Drosophila melanogaster: one gene and its partners. The protein of the gene in region 3 interacts with the protein of the main gene of each other region in a biochemical or structural test. Each region holds a gene or a part of one and is shown on either strand. Other genes may lie near its edges. The genes, in order: Orc3, Orc5, Cdc6 and Orc2.

Region 1 (5,940 bases), on a different chromosome or scaffold from region 3:
ACCGAGGTGTATATAGTATGCACGGATTCGGTGCCCAGTGAAATACTCAAACGCTACGCCAGCGATCTGGCCACAATCTCCTACTGCTCCAATGTGGTCTTTGACAGTCCCGCACCGCAGGGCTGTGCGATCCTCACCGTGACGGGCCAGTGCGAGGTGCACCTGCTGCTCAAGGGACTCGTGGAGGCGGACAAGGAGATAGCCAAGCTGCAGAAGAAGAGCGACCAGCTGGTGCAGACGGTGGGCAAGCTAACTCAGGCCATCCAGGCCGCCGACTACGCAACTAAGGTTCCCGCCGAGGTGCAGGAGGCCAACGAGACAAAACTCTGCGAGTCGCGGGCAGAGATCGAACGCATCGCTGCCGCCATCGAGACTCTGAAACTAATGTGAACAGGGAACGTGGTAACCGCTAGTCGGGAAGACTGGTAATTGATATTTAGTACGCTTGCCTTGCCAGCTGCTGGGCTTTACTTAAAAAATACAAGAACGCGCTTCACTCGCAAACAAAGTTAATGCATTTCGTACAGAGTAGACAAATCGATTGATGTTTTATTTATTCATAACGTCCCACACATGAAATTTGCCCCAATATAAATAAATAGAAAAGATAAAAATACCTAAGGGATTTTGGTTATTCATAGCCCGAGCGAGCTACCAGGTTAATCGAGTGGCATGATCCGTCTTGCGCTTCGACATCTTAATGTACCCCAGAAACTGCAACTCGGCTACGGCACGCGTGAATCGGGCCCTGGTTGAAAGGAAAACCAAATGAAATTGATGATATTACAGAGAGAAATCCATTTTTTTACTCACTGGATCTGGGGATCGATTTGTTCCTGGGCCACTTCCTCGTGGTCGCTGTCGCTCACAACAGATCGAAAGGCCTGCAGCCAGTCGAAAAGGTTGATCATGCGACCGCACTCCAGGTGCAGCTTGTAAACCACGGAGAGATCGGGCAGTGTGCCAACCAGCAGTGATTGATCTTGTAGCTCGCAGCACTTGCACTGCATGTAAAAATGTGGATTATTCAGGGCAGTGTGCAGTGCAGCCCGCGGAGCACCAATTATGTTTCGCCGCACGGTAGCAATGTCGCTGAACACAAAAAGTTCGTGAATAGGTGGTGCATCCTGCAGCGCACGGAGATGATCCTGTACAATCTGCGTTTCGATAAGCTGCAGAGTCTTTTGTAGAGCTCGTCCGAATTGGGTGGTGGGCGTGTTCAGCTGATGCCGCATCTTGTCCTCCTTGCTACGCTGTAGGAGCTGATCTTTCAATTCTTGACGCGAGGCCACCGGAGTCAAATGGTCAGTCGCCTGGCGGGTTTCATTGGGCGATGTCGTTGTAATTGTCGCCATGGTGGCCTTGACCACTTCGTCCACTGCAAGGCGTATAGCTTCTAACTTAGGTCTCAGCACAGCAGTGCAGGCCTCGCCCAATTCCAGCGGAGCAATTTCTTCAACCAGGAACTGTTCGGTTCTTTCCAGGGCTCGATTCACTTTAGCAACAAATTCGTCCTTGGACAGAAAGCTTAGCATCTGCAGGCACTCCTTGTACTCCGGCGTCGAAATGATCGCACGATTAAGACAGTTGACGTACAGTTCCCGGCGTAGCTTTCCCAGCGGACAGCGCGGCAAATCACCAACCAGCTCTGTAAGGAACTCCAGAGAGCAGCGGAAAAGCAGGAAGTGGAGCAGGCAGTCGCGCAGCAACTGCGGCAGTTTCTTCTTTAGGTAGTCATCGTCCGTGAGCACGGCTATGATGCGTTTGCAATCATTGATCTGCTCGACGTACGGACGAAACGATGGGAGCCTTCTGATGGTTTCCATATCCTCGTGGGTCAGCTGCTTTATGCGTCCCAATGCTTTGCTGTAGTCTGTGCAAAGAGCAAAGGCATTCCCACCAAAGAAGTGTTCCATCAGGCAGTACTTGAAGCCCTGAATAAAGCCGTGGATGGAGAAGTCGTAGTATAGGAAGATGTGCGTCAGGAACTTGAATGTCTTTCCCGACAGGTGGAAAGCGTACTTGGGCGACAGCAGAACTTTATCCAGCACCTAAAGGTTGTTAGAAAACCGATTAGTACATAAACTAGCACAGAGTTAAGGAATATTACCTCATTAAGGCCCGTGGGAGCAGCTTGAGTCTGGAACACCCTTAGACGAATCTTGCTGCTGACGTGGTATGGTAGTGTCCCATGGACAGCTGTCATGGCCGTGGCCACTCCCAGGACCAGGACGAATGGAAGCGAGCCGCAGTGAGCGCTCAAAATTAGAATAAGATCCTGCAGCACGCTTGCGTTAAAGCACTCAAAGTCGGGAAGGATGACGACCAGCTGGCGGCGCTTCTGTTCCGAGTCAAAATTGTTCGTGTACCAAGACTTCAACTGCTTCATGGTGCACTGCGAGCGACGTAGCCGCTTGCGATCCCGTTCGGCACCATCCTCGTCCTCGTCCTCGTCTTCCATTTGCTCCACTTCTGCATTATCTTCTACGAGCCCGAAAACCAATGTCTCAACGGCCGCCTTGAGAGTGGCGCAATCCCTGGACTGCAGCACACATACCATTGCAGCACGTTGGGCATGGAGTCGCTGGGTAAGTGCCGTGAACTGGCTGAGATGATCCGGCTGATTAATGCCCGTTAGCAAGGCGGCGGTGGGCAGCACCTCGTCCGGGGTGTCGCGCTCTGCCTGCCCCACCACAAAGTCCACCAGTTGCTCCAGAGTGCGGGCATAGCTGCGGTGCTGCAGGTCGGCAATGTGATCGTTTATCTGATTCCAGGCCTTGCGATATTCCTCATAGAAGGGCTGCTGCACTACCTCTTTGCCAAGAAGACTACTGGATTCTGCGGCAGGACGCTTCCGTTTGCTGGCCGCCTTTTTCCCTGCTCTCGTAGCGCCATTTTTGTAGACAAAACAGCCCTGCAGACAACAAAAATAAGTAGTTAAACATCTATGTCCAGTTTGGAAGCCGAAGCCACTCACCTTGGACACTGAAATGGTGGGATCCATCGCTGGCTTTGCACTGCGGCCCGATGTCGTGGAGTCTTTAAGTCGCCGGGTTGCGTTTATTTATTTATTTGTTTAGGTCAGCTCTGTGCCAATTAAAGTTTCTTCACCGGTAGGAACGCGAAATGAAATCAGCTGGCTGTTGTGTTTGGCGCCAAACGGGCGGCAGTGTTGGCTAACGACTTTAGGGGGTATCTTTGAAAACAAGTGTGAAAAGTATAAATTAATTGAATATTTCATCTAACATGAACTAATAATAAGAAATCATACCCTTCGTGCTCGTACGCCACCATTTTGGTGGATACGAATTCGTCGTAGTTTCTGTGAACAGCACCAAGTTTTTTGAACGTTCGCCATCGCAACGATCCGACCATTTTGGGGCCACTTGGAATGAGAAAAGATAGAGGAGCAGGAAATCGAGGAACAGTATGATGGCTGCCAGGAAGTAGTCCTTCGTGCGCATCTCGGCGAACCTTCCACCGTTTATAATCTGCGCGTGATACATGACAAACTGTAAGGAGGAAACTAAATGACAGAAACTAATTCAAAAATGTATGACTCAGTACTAACCATCAAGATGCTGATCACTATAAAGCAACGGGCGATTATAAACGAGTATGCGACATTAGCCACGATGTAGAGCATCACGAAGTATATGGCGCCGATAATGGAAACCACTGCAAGCACAAATAGCACCACAACATCCAAAGTAAGATCCAGCTTAAGGGGATAACAATAAAAATGTGAAGCTTCAGATTTGAATCAAATGGCTTTCATGTGGACTCTTCTTACCGGAAGAAAGGAACCACAGACAATAAAAAGCGCCAATGCTACGGTCCATATAAGGAAGCTGAAGAGAAACTGATACTTGTAGTGGCGGGCAACCAGCGGTGCAATCCCCAGTACAATGCATTCAAACTGGAAAGAATAAGTTCATACTGCCACCCAGGTTATGTTTCACATTGTAGACTTACAATTAGAAAGGCAAACAACCAGTTTACCATTTTATTAAAGCGCAGTACCTCGAAAAATATGAAAAGTACGAGGAGTATCAGGCCTATTCCAAAAAAAAGGCAGCTCAACCAATGGTACGAAGTAAAAAATTCCCTTAGAAAATTTCTGAAAATTAAGAAAAAGTGCAGTGAGGATGAAGTAATGTGAAAATACATACGTACACAAAGCGGAAAGTGGCCCATTGCAACAGCGCAAGGATCAGGAATATCGCGGTTAGTAGGTAAGTGATCAGAGCGAACTTTCTTCTTTCCTTCTTGTAGTAAGAACTTTTTTCCGGAATGTCTGCCATTGTGTAGTGTTTCTCGAGTATTATTGTTTGTATTGTGATGTTTTTTTTTAACGAATTTAAGTGTACAGTAATACGAAATGGGAACTAGATTGATTTTAAAATTATATTCTTGGGAAAACACGTAAGTGCATAATAAAATTTTTAAAATATTCGTTTTGGCGCCAAATGTTGCTGCTGGATATCGATATCCACTATCAGGGTTGCCACATTTTCAGCCGGTCAGCTGTTGCTTCCGATAATCAACTGCATCTTCTGTTATCGATTGGCGGCAACACGGGATTTTCTAACAATATTAAATAGAATAATAATAATAATTACATTTATACAAATACACGGCAGGGAAACAAATTGCACGCCAGTTTGGAGGAAATGCTCAGGACAGTGACCATTGAGCTTTAGTGGAACTTTTATTCCCTGAAACAAAAATCAAGAACATTGAAATTCTTTTGTGTTTCGAATTTTGATCAATTTATGACTGAACAGGTAATCAATAAAGTAGCTCCATTAAAAAACAGTAACTCTAACAATTCATTTTATGTATCCTTGTTTAAAGGGCAGCCAAGAAGAAACGTAAGCGATTGGTATGGAAACGCCTGCATATGCCACGAAATCTGGCGGAGAACTGGTGCTGCCCGAAGCTCTGGAGGACTTGATGGATTTGGAAGACCAGGACGCGGGCGGGATGAAGTCCAACGTTAAGGATAAATCCATGGATTTGGATATCTATCACGATTTGTACGATATAGAGCCTGCAGGTTCAAAGAAGCCTGACCAAATGGACAGATCCCTTGAACTGGACATCTACGATGATTTGGACGACTTTCAGAAGGCCGAAGATCGTGTAAGTTGTGCAGGAATACGTCCTTTCAGCAGAGTTACCCATTTACCATCTCACAGAATACCAAGGAGCTACAGGCATGGGAAGCCAAATACGAAAAGGCACTGGCCGAAATTGAAGCGCTAAAGGTTGAGAATAAGGCACTTGGCAAGAAGATAAAAACCATGGAGGTTAATCTACAGAATCTACTGGACACAGCTAAGGCGGAGGTAAAGAGAAAAGAGACACTGATTGCCGAGCTGCGAAACGAGTAAGTTAGCATATTGACTCCCTGCTTCTTAACAAACAACACATTGTTCAACAGAAAGGACGATGTATGCTTCCGACGAAAACGAGCACGGGCGTTTGACGTACCAGGTGCAAGGGAACCCGAAAGTAAGCGTCCGAAAGAATTTCAATCTACACCAATCGATGTCAGGAAATATCCGGAAACGAATAGAAATCCGTTCAAAACGGCTGCAAAGGACGCCGCTAAGGATGATGCTAGGAAGATGATGACCAAAAAAGATGACACAACGAAAGTCGTATCAAAAGATGTTGAAAGAGGCGTAAAATCCAAGGAGGATAATAAGATGGCGACCAATAAAGATGATGACAAGAAGTCATCCTCAAAGGATGATGCTTGGAAATCTAGGACAAGAGAAGACGCCAAGAAATCGGTCCAAAGAAGCAAGTCTCCCAGGCCGGAACACTCAAAGACCACCGATCGGAAATCTACTGCACAGGCTCGTCGTCCAGATCCACATCGCAGCCGGAGTCCAAAACATAATTCCCGGCGAGATCATCACAGGAATCAAG
Region 2 (4,130 bases), on a different chromosome or scaffold from region 3:
ATCCGCACGAGCTACGGTGATGCAGGAGAAGTGACCGTGGAGCAACTGAGCCTGGTGAGAATAGTGGACGACAAAGACTTCCGGCTGCCCGATGCGCGAACGGGTGAAATTGTGCAACCGACTGTCATAAGGTCTGTGATAGAGCTGGAAACTACCACCTGCGGTAAGTGGTCATCATAACTATCTTTGAAAATCTTTCTATATTATTATCCTTTAGCTCTGCTTCTGGATGGCTGTGATCATGGCCGGGACTCGCAATCCCTGCTCTTACACCGCGTTCTGGCGCCATATCAATGTGGAATTGCCTGTGTGGAAAGTGATTCCGAGCTATCTGCTGACTTGTCTGATCTTTGTCAGCATCTGAAACATGTTCTCAACCACGCCGGTCTTAGACTTTCTGAAGGGGATGGAATTCGTACGACGAAGAACGCTTCTCATTTAGCAGAGCACTTGCTGGAAACGGATATGCTCGGCATACCTTATACACTTGTTATAAACGAGCAAACGCTAAGAAACGGACTGATGCAGTTGCGCAGCCGGGACACAAGGCTGGCGGAGACCATACACATAAGCGATGTACCGGACTATTTATTAAATATATTTAAAAACTAAAAAAAACAACCAGGGGCTACATAAAGTCGCAGAGATATTGGCGGACATTAAAGCCCACCACCTTGCCAATCTGCAGGACAAACTCCAAGCCAATGGTGCACTGCAGCCTAGCGGAACCTTCCATTATGTTTTGTTCGCCGGAGACGAAGCTTAGTAGATTGAGGTGCACCAAAGTTGAGATCTGGGAGAGAAGGTTGCAGGTCAGACCGACTTTCTCCTCTAGAATGGCGTAGAAAATGGCCAGCAAACGATCGATGCTAAAGGATTTGGGTCCCAAAGTGGTGGACATTTTCTCCGTGGTCTAAAAGGTATTAAAATAAGCAAATGGAGTCATCGAAAAATTGAATAACCCACCTTGGCTCTGGCGTTGACCGTCTGCATCCGCTTTCGCTGTTTTCCATGGTGCTTGACGAACAATCGCTTGTCCTGCTTGGCGGCATTGTGGCTGGCTAAGAAGGCAGCGATCAACAGAAATTTGGCATAGTAGGGCAGCTCCAGCGACTGCGCCAGCTTGCGAACGCTCTGATCTTCTATGGCGGTGAAATCTTCAACTTCTTCCGCGGGTTTTTCAATTCGCATATAAATCTGGGTTAAGGCGGAACGCAGTGGTCCAGCTATATGCCGCCAAAGCCGGGAGATGTCCGTGGCATCCACAGTGCCGTCGAGTACAGGCTCCAAGTATGTGGACAGACACTTCCTGGCGGTCAGCTGGAGCTCTGGAACATCGCGACAGGCTTTGTAAAAGACGCTCAGAAAGAGATTCAGATAGTTGTTGTAGAAGTCTTCAGTTACGGCTTCCTGGCAAATCTCCAGACGCTTCTTATCCTGGGCGAACTGTTCCAGCAGTTGATTTCGCACCTGCTGAAAGTCAGATCCCAGGATGCGCTGTGTCTCCGCCTTGTTGTACTGCGCCAAGTGCAGGCAGACGATTTCACTAAGTCCGGTCTTGTTGTAGAACTTCTCAAAGGGCAGCTGGGAGAGCAGAATAACGCACAGATTCAGGTTGGTCAGCTCCTGCAGTCGGAGAAGAACGGGCAACACATTGGCATCCATGTCGCGCAGCCTTTCCGCGTTATCCACGGCTATGAGAAATCCCTGATCCTCCACGCGTGTAGCGGCCTGCCGACGCAGCTGCTCCACAAAGTCCAGCATGTTGTCGACCTTCAGCGCATCACCTTGATCGGGTGCCAGCGAGTCTAACAGGATCTCCAGCATTATCTTGGTGGTGTAGCATTCGATGGCATTTAAATGCGCTGTGCGGACATTTTGCCGTTTTCCACATTCTTTGAGGAAAGCTCTGGTCAGAGCTGTTTTGCCGGTTCCACTGTGTCCGAATAGGTAAATTGCCGAGGGATATGTCTCACTCGAATCTCCTATCAGCTCGCCCAGCGTTTCAATGGCCGCCTCCCGACAGGGAAACAGCGGCTCCAAGGAGGAGCAGATGGCTTCCATAGCTGTCGTCTGCTTTTAAGTTTCCTCAGCTACCCACAGGCGAAGTGGTGTTATTTAAACGGGCTTTCAAAAGGGAAAATACTTCCTCGGTTTATAAAATAACAAAAATAAATTACGAGCCAGCCAGTTATTAAAAATTTGTTTACAAGAAATGGTTTCTGTTTAGTGTGACCATTGAAATGGCGCCAAATTATTCCCTCTGGTATATACCGAACGTGCGTAACAGCACTGGTACCTTAGCATTTTTCAAACAATCGAAAAATATCGATATAACGAAATAACGATAGTATTGAGGGCCATCGATTTTTGTTCCAGCTCTAATTTCGGGTGATTAATTTTGTGCATTACTTTTCCAAAGAGTTTTTTCCACAACGCTCTACTCTTCCGGCCCAGGCAAAGCCAGAATCCATCCCAGCAACGCCAGCTTAATCGTGTTGACGGCCCAGAGTCCGCGATTAAAACGAGAGCGAAGCTAAAATCCAGCGGAAACAACGCCCAATTGCTACACAGCGATATCCAAAATCCGAAAATCCGGCGAACCGAACCGAAGAAACTACGCGTGTGGTTGGATTTGGACGAGCGAACACTGCACATTCCGAGCGCATTTAGCCACCCACGATGGCCGAGACATACACCTTTGGCACCTCGCTGGCCTCCATCACCTGCCACGCATGGAACAAGGATCGAACCCGTAAGTGCGACCCAAATTACTCATCCGGCACAGTGTGACTCACCACCACCCACTCCCAAAAATTCGCAGAGATTGCCTTATCGCCCAACAACCATGAGATCCACATATACAGCCGGGAGGGCAGCGACTGGAAGCTGGCGGACGTGCTCAACCAGCACGATCTGCGCGTCATGGGCATCGACTGGGCCAAGAACACCAATCGGATTGTGAGCTGTGCCGCCGACCGTAATGCCTATGTGTGGACGCAGGGCGACGATGGCAAGTGGAAGCCGGCGTTGGTGCTGCTGCGCATCAATCGGGCGGCAACCTGCGTCAAGTGGTCGCCGGCGGAGAACAAGTTCGCTGTGGGTTCGGGCGCCCGACTCATATCCGTGTGCTATTTCGAGTCGGAGAACGACTGGTGGGTGTCGAAGCACATCAAGAAGCCGATCCGCTCTACGGTCACTTCGCTGGACTGGCATCCGAACAACGTTCTGCTGCTGGCCGGCTCCACGGACTACAAGGTGCGCGTTTTCTCGGCCTTCATCAAGGACATCGAGGAGCCACCGACGCCGACGCCGTGGGGCAATCGCAAGCCCCTTGGCCAGCTAATGGCCGAGTTCCGCAACTCGCAGACCTCGGGTGGCGGCTGGATTAACAGCGTGAGCTTCTCCAGCGACGGTAACAAGGTCTGCTGGGTGGGCCACGACAGCTGCGTGAGCATCGCGGACGCTACCAATGGCAATACGGTCATTCGATGCCGCACCGGCTATCTGCCCTTCCTGTCATGCGAATGGGTCTCGCCCACGTCCGTCGTGGTGGCCGGCTATAGCTGTGTGCCACTGCTCTACAGTCTGACTGCCGATGGAAAGCTGGTGCTGAGCGGCAAGCTCGATAAGTCGCAGAAGAAGGAGTCGAGCGGCATTACCGCCATGAGAATCTTTCAGTCGATGGACCGCAACATGCGCACGGAGAACACGGACACGGTGGTCGATTCCATACATCAGAACGCCATCACCAGCGTGCGACTGTATGCCGGCGACAAGGCGAGCGCCACCAAGGTGTCCACCTCGGGCGTCGACGGGCAGCTGGTCATTTGGAATGTGGAGCAGGGCGGCATCAATGGCGGCATGCGCAACCTGCAGATCTAGTGCGGCCCGGAACGGACCAGCGTTACGTGTTATTGTCTGTTAGCGAGTGTGTTGGCCTGGCCAGGAGCGAAGTATTTGCCAAAATGTTTTCCAAAATCGCTTTTCCCATTGTTCTGTACCGTGCGAAAGCCTTTTTACATAAATTAACCGAAGAGATTGTTCTTTCCCCCCCCCCCCCCCCACCAACTTCCATAATGGTTCCGAAAGTGTGTGTGTGTTTTAAAGTGTTTCACCTTTATAGCAAA
Region 3 (4,959 bases):
ACCTGTATGTTTTTCGAGGTTTTTCGCCTTACTGCTCCCTCAGAAATATATGTATTTTTGAGGAATAGGAATATAGAACGCCATATACCTATAGATACATTCATGCATATATCTAGCTGGCCTCTCTGCATATAGCTTATTATTCAAACATTTGTTCGCCTTTCGTCAATACGCGTCGAAAGGCAACCAGAGTTTTTGAAACATATTTTTCATTGCGCTCTGGTTGTGTCGGTGGTGCTCAATGTAATTCATACCACTCAAATGGGGATATTTTTAGAGCAGAGAGCGCAGGAAGAACAACAATAAGCCAGCAAATAAATAAACAAAATGATTATAGAACAAATTAATTTCATGTCGAGATGGCCAACAAAAGCCCACACAAATTCAGAAGCACTGGTGTTAATTTGACTGGTATGTTCTGAAAACGCCTCAGAAAACAATGGCAACAGACTTTCCCTAAGATTTTCACAACTTTTGGCACGACCCAAGATTCAAACTTGCGGCGCAGCGAAAGTGGAAAACGTTTTCACTTTTGCGTTTTATGTATTGCGGAACTATCTAGTTTATTCTTATTTGCTTAGGGCTAACAGGAAGGGGATTCTCTATAACTTATTGGTCAACGGATCGGATTAGAAATAGATTATGGGCGCAACATTTACTTAGATTTATGACACACACAAAGTCTAAAAGAATCGATTCAATTAATAGTCAGAAAATAGCAGAAAATGTCGAAAGTGACCGTCAAATGATATTTCAAAATATTTCAGTGCTTGCGCCAGCCACGAATTTTAAAATTAGCGTCAAAAAGTATTCCTATACATATACGTTCGTCCCCAAGGTGAATGAAAATGAGAAAAATGCGCAATTAACCAGCGGTTTGTCGGGCACACTCATTTCCTAGAGGTAATCGTCCAGATCGTCACTTGCTCAGGCAGGCGGTATCGCTGAGGATCGAGGCGATCAGCTGCTTGTCGCTCAGTGCCGCATGCACCTCCTCCTCGTCCCACTGCAGCAGAACCTTGTGCAGGCGCGGCTCCTTTTTGCGCATGATTCGCAGAATGCCTCGGGTCTCGACCAGATCCACAGTCCCAGTGAACTCCGCTTGGTCCAGGGCCAGGATGTTGCGTTTGGCGCACACTCTCCTGTAGACCTCGTGCAGGCGACCCATACTGATGTCTTTGTTGCGCTCGTTGCGCAGCATCAGCACCAGGGTGCACAGCATTAGCTTTTGCTGCAGCGGAAATGATGCCTCGATGTCCTCCTCCAGATTCTGTGAGGCACCGTAGACCTTGTTCAGCACTGCAGCCACTTGGGTGACCTGAACAGGCTTTAGAGTGTCTGAAATAGTCAAGATAGGATTTCTTTTTAACACATTCTATAAATTTATCTTTATATACTAAAGAAACGAAGGTTTACCTTGCTTTTCCTTGGCCTCCACCGCATCCTTGCCCTCCAGCTGCAGGGCCTTCATATTGAACTCCTTTTCGCCATCGCGCTTCTGCTGCTCTGCTATCTCGACCACTCGTCGTCCAATGTCCAGGGCCCTTCGCACATCTCCACTGATCGCACTCACCTTGGCGGCCAGCAGCTGCAGGGTCACGGGTGGAAAGACGTCCAGCACTTCCGCCTCAGCCAGACGCGACTTGAATATCTCCACGATCTGCTGCTTGGAGTAGGGCGGGAAGTGCATCAGTCTGGGCTTCAGCTCGCACCTTGCATTCAGTCGCATCAGCGCACGATCTGTGAGATCCAAACTATTGGCAATGCCCACGAGCAGTATCCTGGAGCCGGGAAGAGCTGGCCACTCGAAGATCGTGTACAACACCTCCTGCCTGCTGGTGCAGAGCTGATCAATCTCGTCCAGCACCAGCAGAAGCATTCGCTTTGCTGTCTTTAGGTGACGCTGAATGGCCTCCAAGTGATCTCTCTCTGTGCGACCGCTGACTTTGAGCTGCAGTTCGGTGCATAGTTTCTTGTAAACTGCTCCTACACTTGCTATGCTGGTGCAGTTAATGTACACACGTTGCAGACGCTTGGAGAAGTCGGGATCTCTCAGCAGTAGCGATAGGCAGGCGGTCTTGCCTGTTCCTGGCTGACCGGAGACATAGAGGCTGCCGGAAGTCTGGCTTTCCAGGTGATTGCTGAAGAATTCACGTAGCTCTTGGAGCTGGGACTCACGTCCTGGCAAGTTTTGTGTCTCGGCGCTGTTGAGCACTCGTCTGGCGTTTTGGTATTTGTTGCGTGAGGGAGATGGCAGGTTATTCTGTTGGGTTTCCTCATTGGTTTGGATATTGCTTTTTTCTTTAGTTTGGTTTTTATTCGGCTGCTTTGTTGGAGGTTTCTCCTGCTGCTTTTGCGCTAATGGATCCTCCTGCTGTTTTGGCCGAGGCTTTGCCTCGTCCTTGGCTTGATGTTTCGGCTGCTGCTCAGCCGTTTCAGTCTTGTGTGTGGTCGCCTCCACCTCTTCCTCCTGGCGCTCGTCGATGCTGAGTCTGTCCAGCAGCCGCGAAGGACTGATCAGGTGCTGTGGCAGTGGCTGCAACTTCCTCTGCTTCGGCGGCGATCCATGAAGCGGGTCCACCTCCGAATCCTGTTCGCCCTCCAAGAATCTAGCGGTGGCCTCACGGTTTTCCTCCTCACGTTTGGCCCGTGAACTGCCAGCTGATTGGACTGTTTTCTTTGTGCTGCGTGGCGTCTTTGGCAGCTCCGATTGAGCCACCTGCACTTGCGATGTCCTGCGCCTGGAGATCTTGTCCATTTTGTTGAGCACGTTGCGGTTCTCGTTGTTCTCTGAAACGGGGCTGGTCAGGTCATAGATCGCCGTCACCACCTCCTCCTCCTCGTCGCTATCGGCAAGCACTTTTTTCGGCTGCCTGCGTTTCCAAACTTCCGAGCGACGCGGCGTCTGCGTCGACGGCGGCAGCGGAGAGGCGGCGGTCGCTTTGCTGATGCTACTAAGGCGCGTGGAGCGGCGTACGGCAGCCATTCTTTAGCTTAGTTTATTGATCAGCAGTTAGTTACTATTAAATACGAGTTAAATAAGCCACAGCGTGCGTTACAATTTTCAGCTGGCAGTCACAGTTAAAAAAGCGCGCAAATTGAGTTTGCCATTCGCCACGAGCAACAGCTGATCAAGCCTGGTCTGGTCATCTGGCAGCTCTAGCCCAGAGCTGCCTATTGTCGATCGCCTATCGATTAGGCGCGCATAGTTACAACATTTCAAACAGCAGTCCGCCTATATTGAATTACTTACATACTCGCGTGTGGACGGCCTGGTAAAAATAAAATGGTCCGCGGCAGATAGAAAACACAAATCGCTGGACGTTGAACACGCTTACGTAAGCGCCTAAAAATATTTCCCCTGGCTATGGGATATTTTTAAAGTATATAAACGGGCGCACATAAAATGGAATTTAGATATAGCGAAAAAAATTATGCACACACACGCTCGAAGGAGAAATACGTAGCACAGTGGGCAAAGATCTGGTGATTTCTAGAAACTCTTTTAATCTCTGTCTGATTTATTTATATTATCATTTGCCGCAACGGCTGGTCGGCCAAATGTGTGCCCCATTTCGGCGTAAACAAAGTCGTTAATCTTCACCGATCCGCTTTCCAGCCCTACCGTACAACTCCGCTGGTCCTGCCCGGCGCCAAAGTGAAGAAGGATGCGCCCACGACAGAGTCCTACTTGAGGCACTACCCCAACCCGGCTGTGCGCGCCCACCCAGGACACGACTACCATGACAGTATCATGAAGCAGCGCGTGGCCGACACCATGCTGCACAAGGTGGTCGGTTCGGAAGCCGACACTGGCCGCGTAAGTACAGGGGACTTCTTAAAGTCACACCCACATAATGGAAAATTACAAAAACTAGAGTTTTCTACATTTAAAATTGATATTTTCAATGTTAACATTTCGAATTCGTGACCTGTAGTCTTTGTTCTAATCCTGTTACGAAATTGATTGTATTTAATTTAAGTGTAAGTTGTAATGGGTTTTACTTACATTTGTGTACATATATCCCCCGATTTTAGGTCTTCCACAAGCAATTCAACTCGCCCATTGGCCTGTACTCCAACAACAACATCGAGGACACCATCAGATCCACAGTTCCGTAAGTTGTCACCCAGAAATGTACCATCTGGAAACTCCTATGCTTAGCTCGATACAATGAAAAAAAAAAAACACTAATATATGAACTTTTGGAATTCGCTTGTCAAATTGAACTTATAAGCCTATGAATTACGCTACATATTCTTTGGATTTTGCAATTTACGAATAAACCTGCGTAGAGTTCTTCGAAATTTTTGATGCAGCTTTTCTTTTTGCCAGAGAGACAGAGAGAGCCACTCGAAATGCGCCAAGTAGCTTGAAAACTAATAAAACGAGTCACGAACACACGGTTACGAGTAGCCTAAGGTCCACATAACCCGAAAAATTGGTTCCTGGTTAAGCTGCGGCCATAATCCACTAACCCAAAAGCCACAAAATCAAAGTCGAAACGAAATTTACTAAACCGATGCACACACGAAATGAGAAACACACACAATTCGAACATACGATTGAACACGAAAACCAGTCCATAGATGTTGTACGTACTACTTACTACTGCCTACTGCCGGATCTCTGTTTTACATGCATTTATATACATTTACATATATAAATATACCACTCTCTATATATCCTATATATATTCTATGTATATTGTTGTAGCTTCGCCACAAGCGAAAGCAATCGCTTGAAGGACAGTCCTTTGCATCGTCCTTTGCCAACAAAACTTAACGGGTAAAAGTAAATTCATATCTTGAGCACAGCCTGATTTCGTTCTTTGATTGAATCCTTTCACTTTCACTTTCACTTTGATATGGAAAGCACAATGAGCAAGAACGTGGAATTGTACCTGAACTTGCCTTGAGACAAATTAAATTGAATATGAGGAATGTTTGCCAAGTTTC
Region 4 (4,521 bases), on a different chromosome or scaffold from region 3:
CCATGAACGATTCCCCATTGTATGTGTACTTCCGATTGACTTCGCATGTGATTTGCTATCAAGAAAGTGTAAATAAACTAGCCTTAGTCGCAGCAATTACATTTCGTTTCGAGTGCACAATTAACTAGTTACAAGTCCAACGCTTTAATCTGTGTATGTGCGTGTCTGTATAGTGAATAGGTAACCGATATTAGCCTTTGGAATGGATGAGGAGCACGGAATGGTCAGGCGGTAGTGAGTCTTATCATTTTTGGCATGCTTAGCTATGTTTAGTTCGCCTCTTCTGATCCTTAAAATCGTATCCAAATGCGCTCTCATCCCCGCAGTCGTCGAGCACTTGCAGTGCTTTGTGAAGTTTTGTGTTGCTATATGCTCGCAACTGGAGCTGAGGAAAAAAACTAGCCATCCTAGAATGTGTATCTTCGAGCAAAGCGACAAATTTTATGCATGCCAATCTTAATGTGTAGAAATTGACAAAAAAATAAAAAAGAGCGAAAACAAACACTGCGCACTCATCATGGGCAATACAAGTGACAGCAACACAACATTTTTAAAAAGCGAAATTGTAATTGTATTTAACAATATTAGATAATAAATTAATATGTTCTAAAATTACGCCGATGGCCTATTTCTTCTCCTGCTCCTCGAGAAACTGCTGCAGCAGTGCGCCATCAATGGGAATGGTTAGCTGTTCGGAGCCATCAACGCTCCGTTTCGATTTGACCAGCTTGTGGTCGAGGAACTCGGTGAGCTGGGCACGCAGTGCCAGATCTGAGCTGACCAAAAATGCTTCGCGACAACTCGAATAGAGATCCCTGAACGGCATGCCCTGGTATGTGGCATTGCCCTTGTTCTTCAATTGATACTTAACAATCAGCATGTAAATGCCACGCGAATTGGTCGTTAGCGATGAGAAGACACTGCGCATCGAGGAGAGGGCCAATTCGCCGGAATTCTGCACCAGCAGCGAGTTCTCGAACGCAGTTTCGTTCGTATATGGCAGCATTGTTGTGCAGTCCCACCACGAGAAGTTGAAGCTGCACAGCTTTCCCTGGTCCCACACTGCAAATTCGTAAACAATAATTAGTTTTGCTGTCGCACTATAAAGATCTCAAAGCATCGGTGCACTCACACAGTGGGGTATTTATGTGATCAATGGAGGCCAGTAGATGAATGTTCGGTATGCGCGCCAGGCGCGAAAGAATCGCCTGTGCCTTCACATTGCGAAGCATGGCTCCATCCAGATTATGGACGATTAAGAACAAATGTGTTTCCGGTATCAGTGCGAACTCCTCCTCGATCATATCCACTGCTTCATGTGGATTAGCCGGACTAATGCCCGCATCTAATATGTCGCTTGTGATGCTATCCAGCATATCCTTGATGGTCAGACTGGGAAAGAAGCCATTCACCACCAATACCGTTTGCTTATGCAAAACTTCCCGATGGAATGACTGCAGCAGCTGGTGCTTGGAGCCCAATCCATATAGAAGTATATTGAAGCCTTCGTTCAGAATACACATCCACTTGGGAAAGTACGATCGATACTCCTCCATAATGGCATTAATAGAACCCTCATGCTCCGCCGATGTCTTGATTTCCGACAGCAAACTGAAAACACGATCGGCGGCCAGGCGAGGATTCTTTAGGCGATCCAAGGTGTGATCCGAAGTGAGGATCTTGCTGCTGGCATGCGAGTGAAAGTAACCATCGCTCTCGGGCACAAACTCATTCGATTTTTTCGCCCTCGCCGATTGTCGCAGGCGGGCTGCCGATGGAGTTTTCGGCAGAACGGGGACTACAATGGCACGGCGGGCTCTACTGGGCGTTTTGGGCTCATCATCGGCGGCGTCGTTGTCAGAGGAGTTGCCAGCATCGCTGCTACTGCTGCTGGAGGAGGATTCCTCGTCACTGGGCCGGAAATCGCTTTCATCTCCAGAAAAATCCTCATCTGAGTCGGCCACTATTTTGGCAATCTCTGAAAGTGATAATGAATTTATAAATAATGGAAAAAATGGTAAAAGGACGCAGAAAAAGGCTACCCACGCTTCTTGACGCGGGTGCGCACATGGGCGGGAGTCTTTGGCTGATCCATGGACTTCTTGCGCTTCGTATCCGGCGTCTTGACACCCAAACGCGGCGTTTTTGGGGTCTTGGGCGTGCAGGGCGTGGCATTTAGGGCGGCCAGTGCCATGGCATCGCGTTTCTTGGGCGTATTGAAGCCAAACATGCTGGTGCCGGCCACATTGTACTCGGATTGGATGAGATGCAGATCCTTGGCAGCGGGACGGGCAGCATTTTCCGACTCCTCGATGCTTTCTTCTTCTTCCTGATCCTCCGCATCGCTGCTCCGTTCATCGGACATTTCCACATAGTTCACAACAATTCGCTCTTCCTGGCCTTTTCCATTGCTTTCCTTCTGGTACGCCTGGTATTTCTTGGTGGGACTTGGACGTCGGGTGGAACGCCGACTGGTGACCTTGGGCTGAGATTCCACTGCATTCCCAACCATTGCCGTGTTCAAGTCCTCGGATTCCTCCTCCGAATTGGTGAGGTTCTCAATGGACATGAGGTTCTCCTTCCGCGGCGTCTTGTAACCGCCTTTGTTGCTGGCACTCATGACGCTTGCCACTTCACTGGGGGCCCTGATTATCAAAATATTCAATTGGTAAACAAATAGTTCGCAAAATATACTCAATGCTCAGAAGTGGCGGGAATTATCGATAACTAAGACATGCCAAGAGTGTGGCCAGCTCTCGACCTAGGAAGTAGCTAAGTTTCTAGCGTAAAAAAAACTAAAGGGGCATGACAATTAAAACACAAATGTTATAAATATTTGTATAAATATATATTTATATAGGTAATAATTACAAAAAGAAATTCCGTGACACAGTTTTTAGAAATAACTATATTGTTCGAATAAGAATTGCATACGTTATCGATAAATTTAAATTAGAATCCAGTCACTGACAAAAGCTGAAGTGTTTGTTGGCAACACGTGCGCGTACAAAGCGGTTATTTTTTCACTGTCACAAATTCCTTGCGGATTAACCACAAACGTTTTTAAAACTAAAAAGTGTTAAAATCGGTAAGTTTAGGAAAAACAATATTTGAAGATGGGAAAATTACGCTACGTTCTTATTCTGAATTGCGGTCGTCAATGGACTTGCGGTTAATTTTCAAATAATATTGCCTATATTGGCAAAATAATAACACAAAGTAGATTTGCGTTTTCAGATATATTCAAACAGGTTCAAAGAGTATTCAACTTCCATGAAAATGGCTTGGCGAAATTGATTGTAACTGGAATATGTAGAATATTTAGCATATGTTGTGTCGTTTTAATTAAAGTTTAAAAACTTCGTAAGCCTTATTTTTCCTTTTTTAATTAACGATCAAGTTTACTTCCATCAGTGCGCTGTAAATCGAAAACCAACCGATATCGATATCGTCCTGTTCTCTTTCTTCCCACGTTCGTTCAATGCACTGAAGCGCGTGCCCAGCGAGCTTCGAATTTAAACGCGTTTAGTGAACGTATCGCATGTTTGTGAGTTGTGAATCGCGCACTTAAATTCTAAAGGATTCCACCTTTTTCAAAACGAAAACATAGAAAGTTCTCGTCCAGCGTAAATAGATTTTCACTTTGTATTTCATCGCGTGCTAAAAGTTCTGTTAGCGCCATTTTGCTGCGTTTCCTTTAACGCGCCGTTCTTTCATTCACACGTTCTTGCGTTGTTACTTTGAATTGAAGAAATGGAAAAGTCGGAGGAAAAGACATGCGTCGTCTGTGGCACTCCGACCAGATTGATGTGCCAGCGGTGTGGAGAACCGTACTGCAATGAAAAGTGCCAGAAATTGGATTGGCAGAGGCACAGGCAGGTGTGCATCATTATGCCGTGAGTTAAATTAGTAAATCCGTTGCGCAGCAGTGCATTAAGTTAGGGGTTTTTAATTCTTATACAATACAAATGCGTTTCCAGACCCTTGGTGGAGTGCCGGCCTCTTCAACCGGCGTTGAATCCAATCCAGAGCGTAGAGAACCAAGTTGCTCTGGCTAAAACTCGCACTAAATCGCCAATCCCATGTGTGGAGCCCACAGTTGCTGTGCCGAACAAGCCGGATCTATCGGAAAACTGGCGCAAACATTTGCTGCCGTCGGGCATGGAGTTTTTCAAGTGCCGCGTGACTTTCATGGAGAACGATGGACCCATTTGGGTGGTGCACGTGGCGAATGTGGAGGCCATTGAGCGAATGACGGTCAACATGCAGCGCTGCATGCAGAATAAGAAGATGATTCGTATGGAAGGAGTGCGGGAGGACACCCTCGTGGCCATCAGTGTGGGCGACAAGGTCCATCGCGGTCATGTTTTGACGGTTTGCCAAAAGAAGCAAGAAGCCAATGTCCGTATGATTGACCACGGTCAGATAGTAGCTACACCGTTTCGGGATATCTACACCATTGTGCCCAAGATGGCCGAAAGCAAGGCGTTCGCTTTCCGTGTTCAATTGCCCACGAACACT

The links.
Region 1: the proteins of Cdc6 (region 3) and Orc3 form a complex in vitro, tested with the Drosophila melanogaster proteins (one study listed by BioGRID).
Region 2: the proteins of Cdc6 (region 3) and Orc5 form a complex in vitro, tested with the Drosophila melanogaster proteins (one study listed by BioGRID).
Region 4: the proteins of Cdc6 (region 3) and Orc2 form a complex in vitro, tested with the Drosophila melanogaster proteins (one study listed by BioGRID).

The regions. Positions count from the first base shown.
Region 1 is NT_033778.4:13,202,205-13,208,144, forward strand, and holds Orc3 (origin recognition complex subunit 3), read right to left. Parts: upstream 4,344-5,940; 5' UTR 4,305-4,343; coding exon of another isoform or gene 4,177-4,304; intron 4,121-4,176; coding exon of another isoform or gene 3,976-4,120; intron 3,920-3,975; coding exon of another isoform or gene 3,794-3,919; intron 3,722-3,793; coding exon of another isoform or gene 3,572-3,721; intron 3,513-3,571; coding exon of another isoform or gene 3,272-3,512; intron 3,197-3,271; coding exon of another isoform or gene 3,186-3,196; 5' UTR 3,005-3,185; coding exon 2,978-3,004; intron 2,915-2,977; coding exon 2,111-2,914; intron 2,052-2,110; coding exon 814-2,051; intron 749-813; coding exon 652-748; 3' UTR 524-651; downstream 1-523. Other genes in the region: ValRS (Valyl-tRNA synthetase), read left to right, coding at 1-390; CG34315 (uncharacterized protein), read right to left, coding at 3,186-3,196, 3,272-3,512, 3,572-3,721, 3,794-3,919, 3,976-4,120, 4,177-4,304; FLASH (FLICE-associated huge protein), read left to right, coding at 4,888-5,145, 5,202-5,392, 5,447-5,940.
Region 2 is NT_033779.5:13,827,971-13,832,100, reverse strand, and holds Orc5 (origin recognition complex subunit 5), read right to left. Parts: upstream 2,265-4,130; 5' UTR 2,065-2,264; coding exon 967-2,064; intron 914-966; coding exon 629-913; 3' UTR 613-628; downstream 1-612. Other genes in the region: PolG2 (DNA polymerase gamma subunit 2), read left to right, coding at 1-163, 218-612; Arpc1 (Actin-related protein 2/3 complex, subunit 1), read left to right, coding at 2,683-2,755, 2,825-3,885. UniProt on the Drosophila melanogaster protein: Component of the origin recognition complex (ORC) that binds origins of replication. DNA-binding is ATP-dependent, however specific DNA sequences that define origins of replication have not been identified so far.
Region 3 is NT_037436.4:8,630,964-8,635,922, forward strand, and holds Cdc6 (cell division cycle 6), read right to left. Parts: upstream 3,107-4,959; 5' UTR 2,987-3,106; coding exon 1,417-2,986; intron 1,339-1,416; coding exon 920-1,338; 3' UTR 546-919; downstream 1-545. Other genes in the region: Zasp66 (Z band alternatively spliced PDZ-motif protein 66), read left to right, coding at 3,620-3,820, 4,039-4,118, 4,718-4,789.
Region 4 is NT_033777.3:13,963,107-13,967,627, reverse strand, and holds Orc2 (origin recognition complex subunit 2), read right to left. Parts: upstream 2,744-4,521; 5' UTR 2,695-2,743; intron 2,637-2,694; 5' UTR 2,621-2,636; coding exon 2,047-2,620; intron 1,979-2,046; coding exon 1,133-1,978; intron 1,063-1,132; coding exon 626-1,062; 3' UTR 553-625; downstream 1-552. Other genes in the region: Kots (kotsubu), read left to right, coding at 3,754-3,896, 3,981-4,521. UniProt on the Drosophila melanogaster protein: Component of the origin recognition complex (ORC) that binds origins of replication. DNA-binding is ATP-dependent, however specific DNA sequences that define origins of replication have not been identified so far.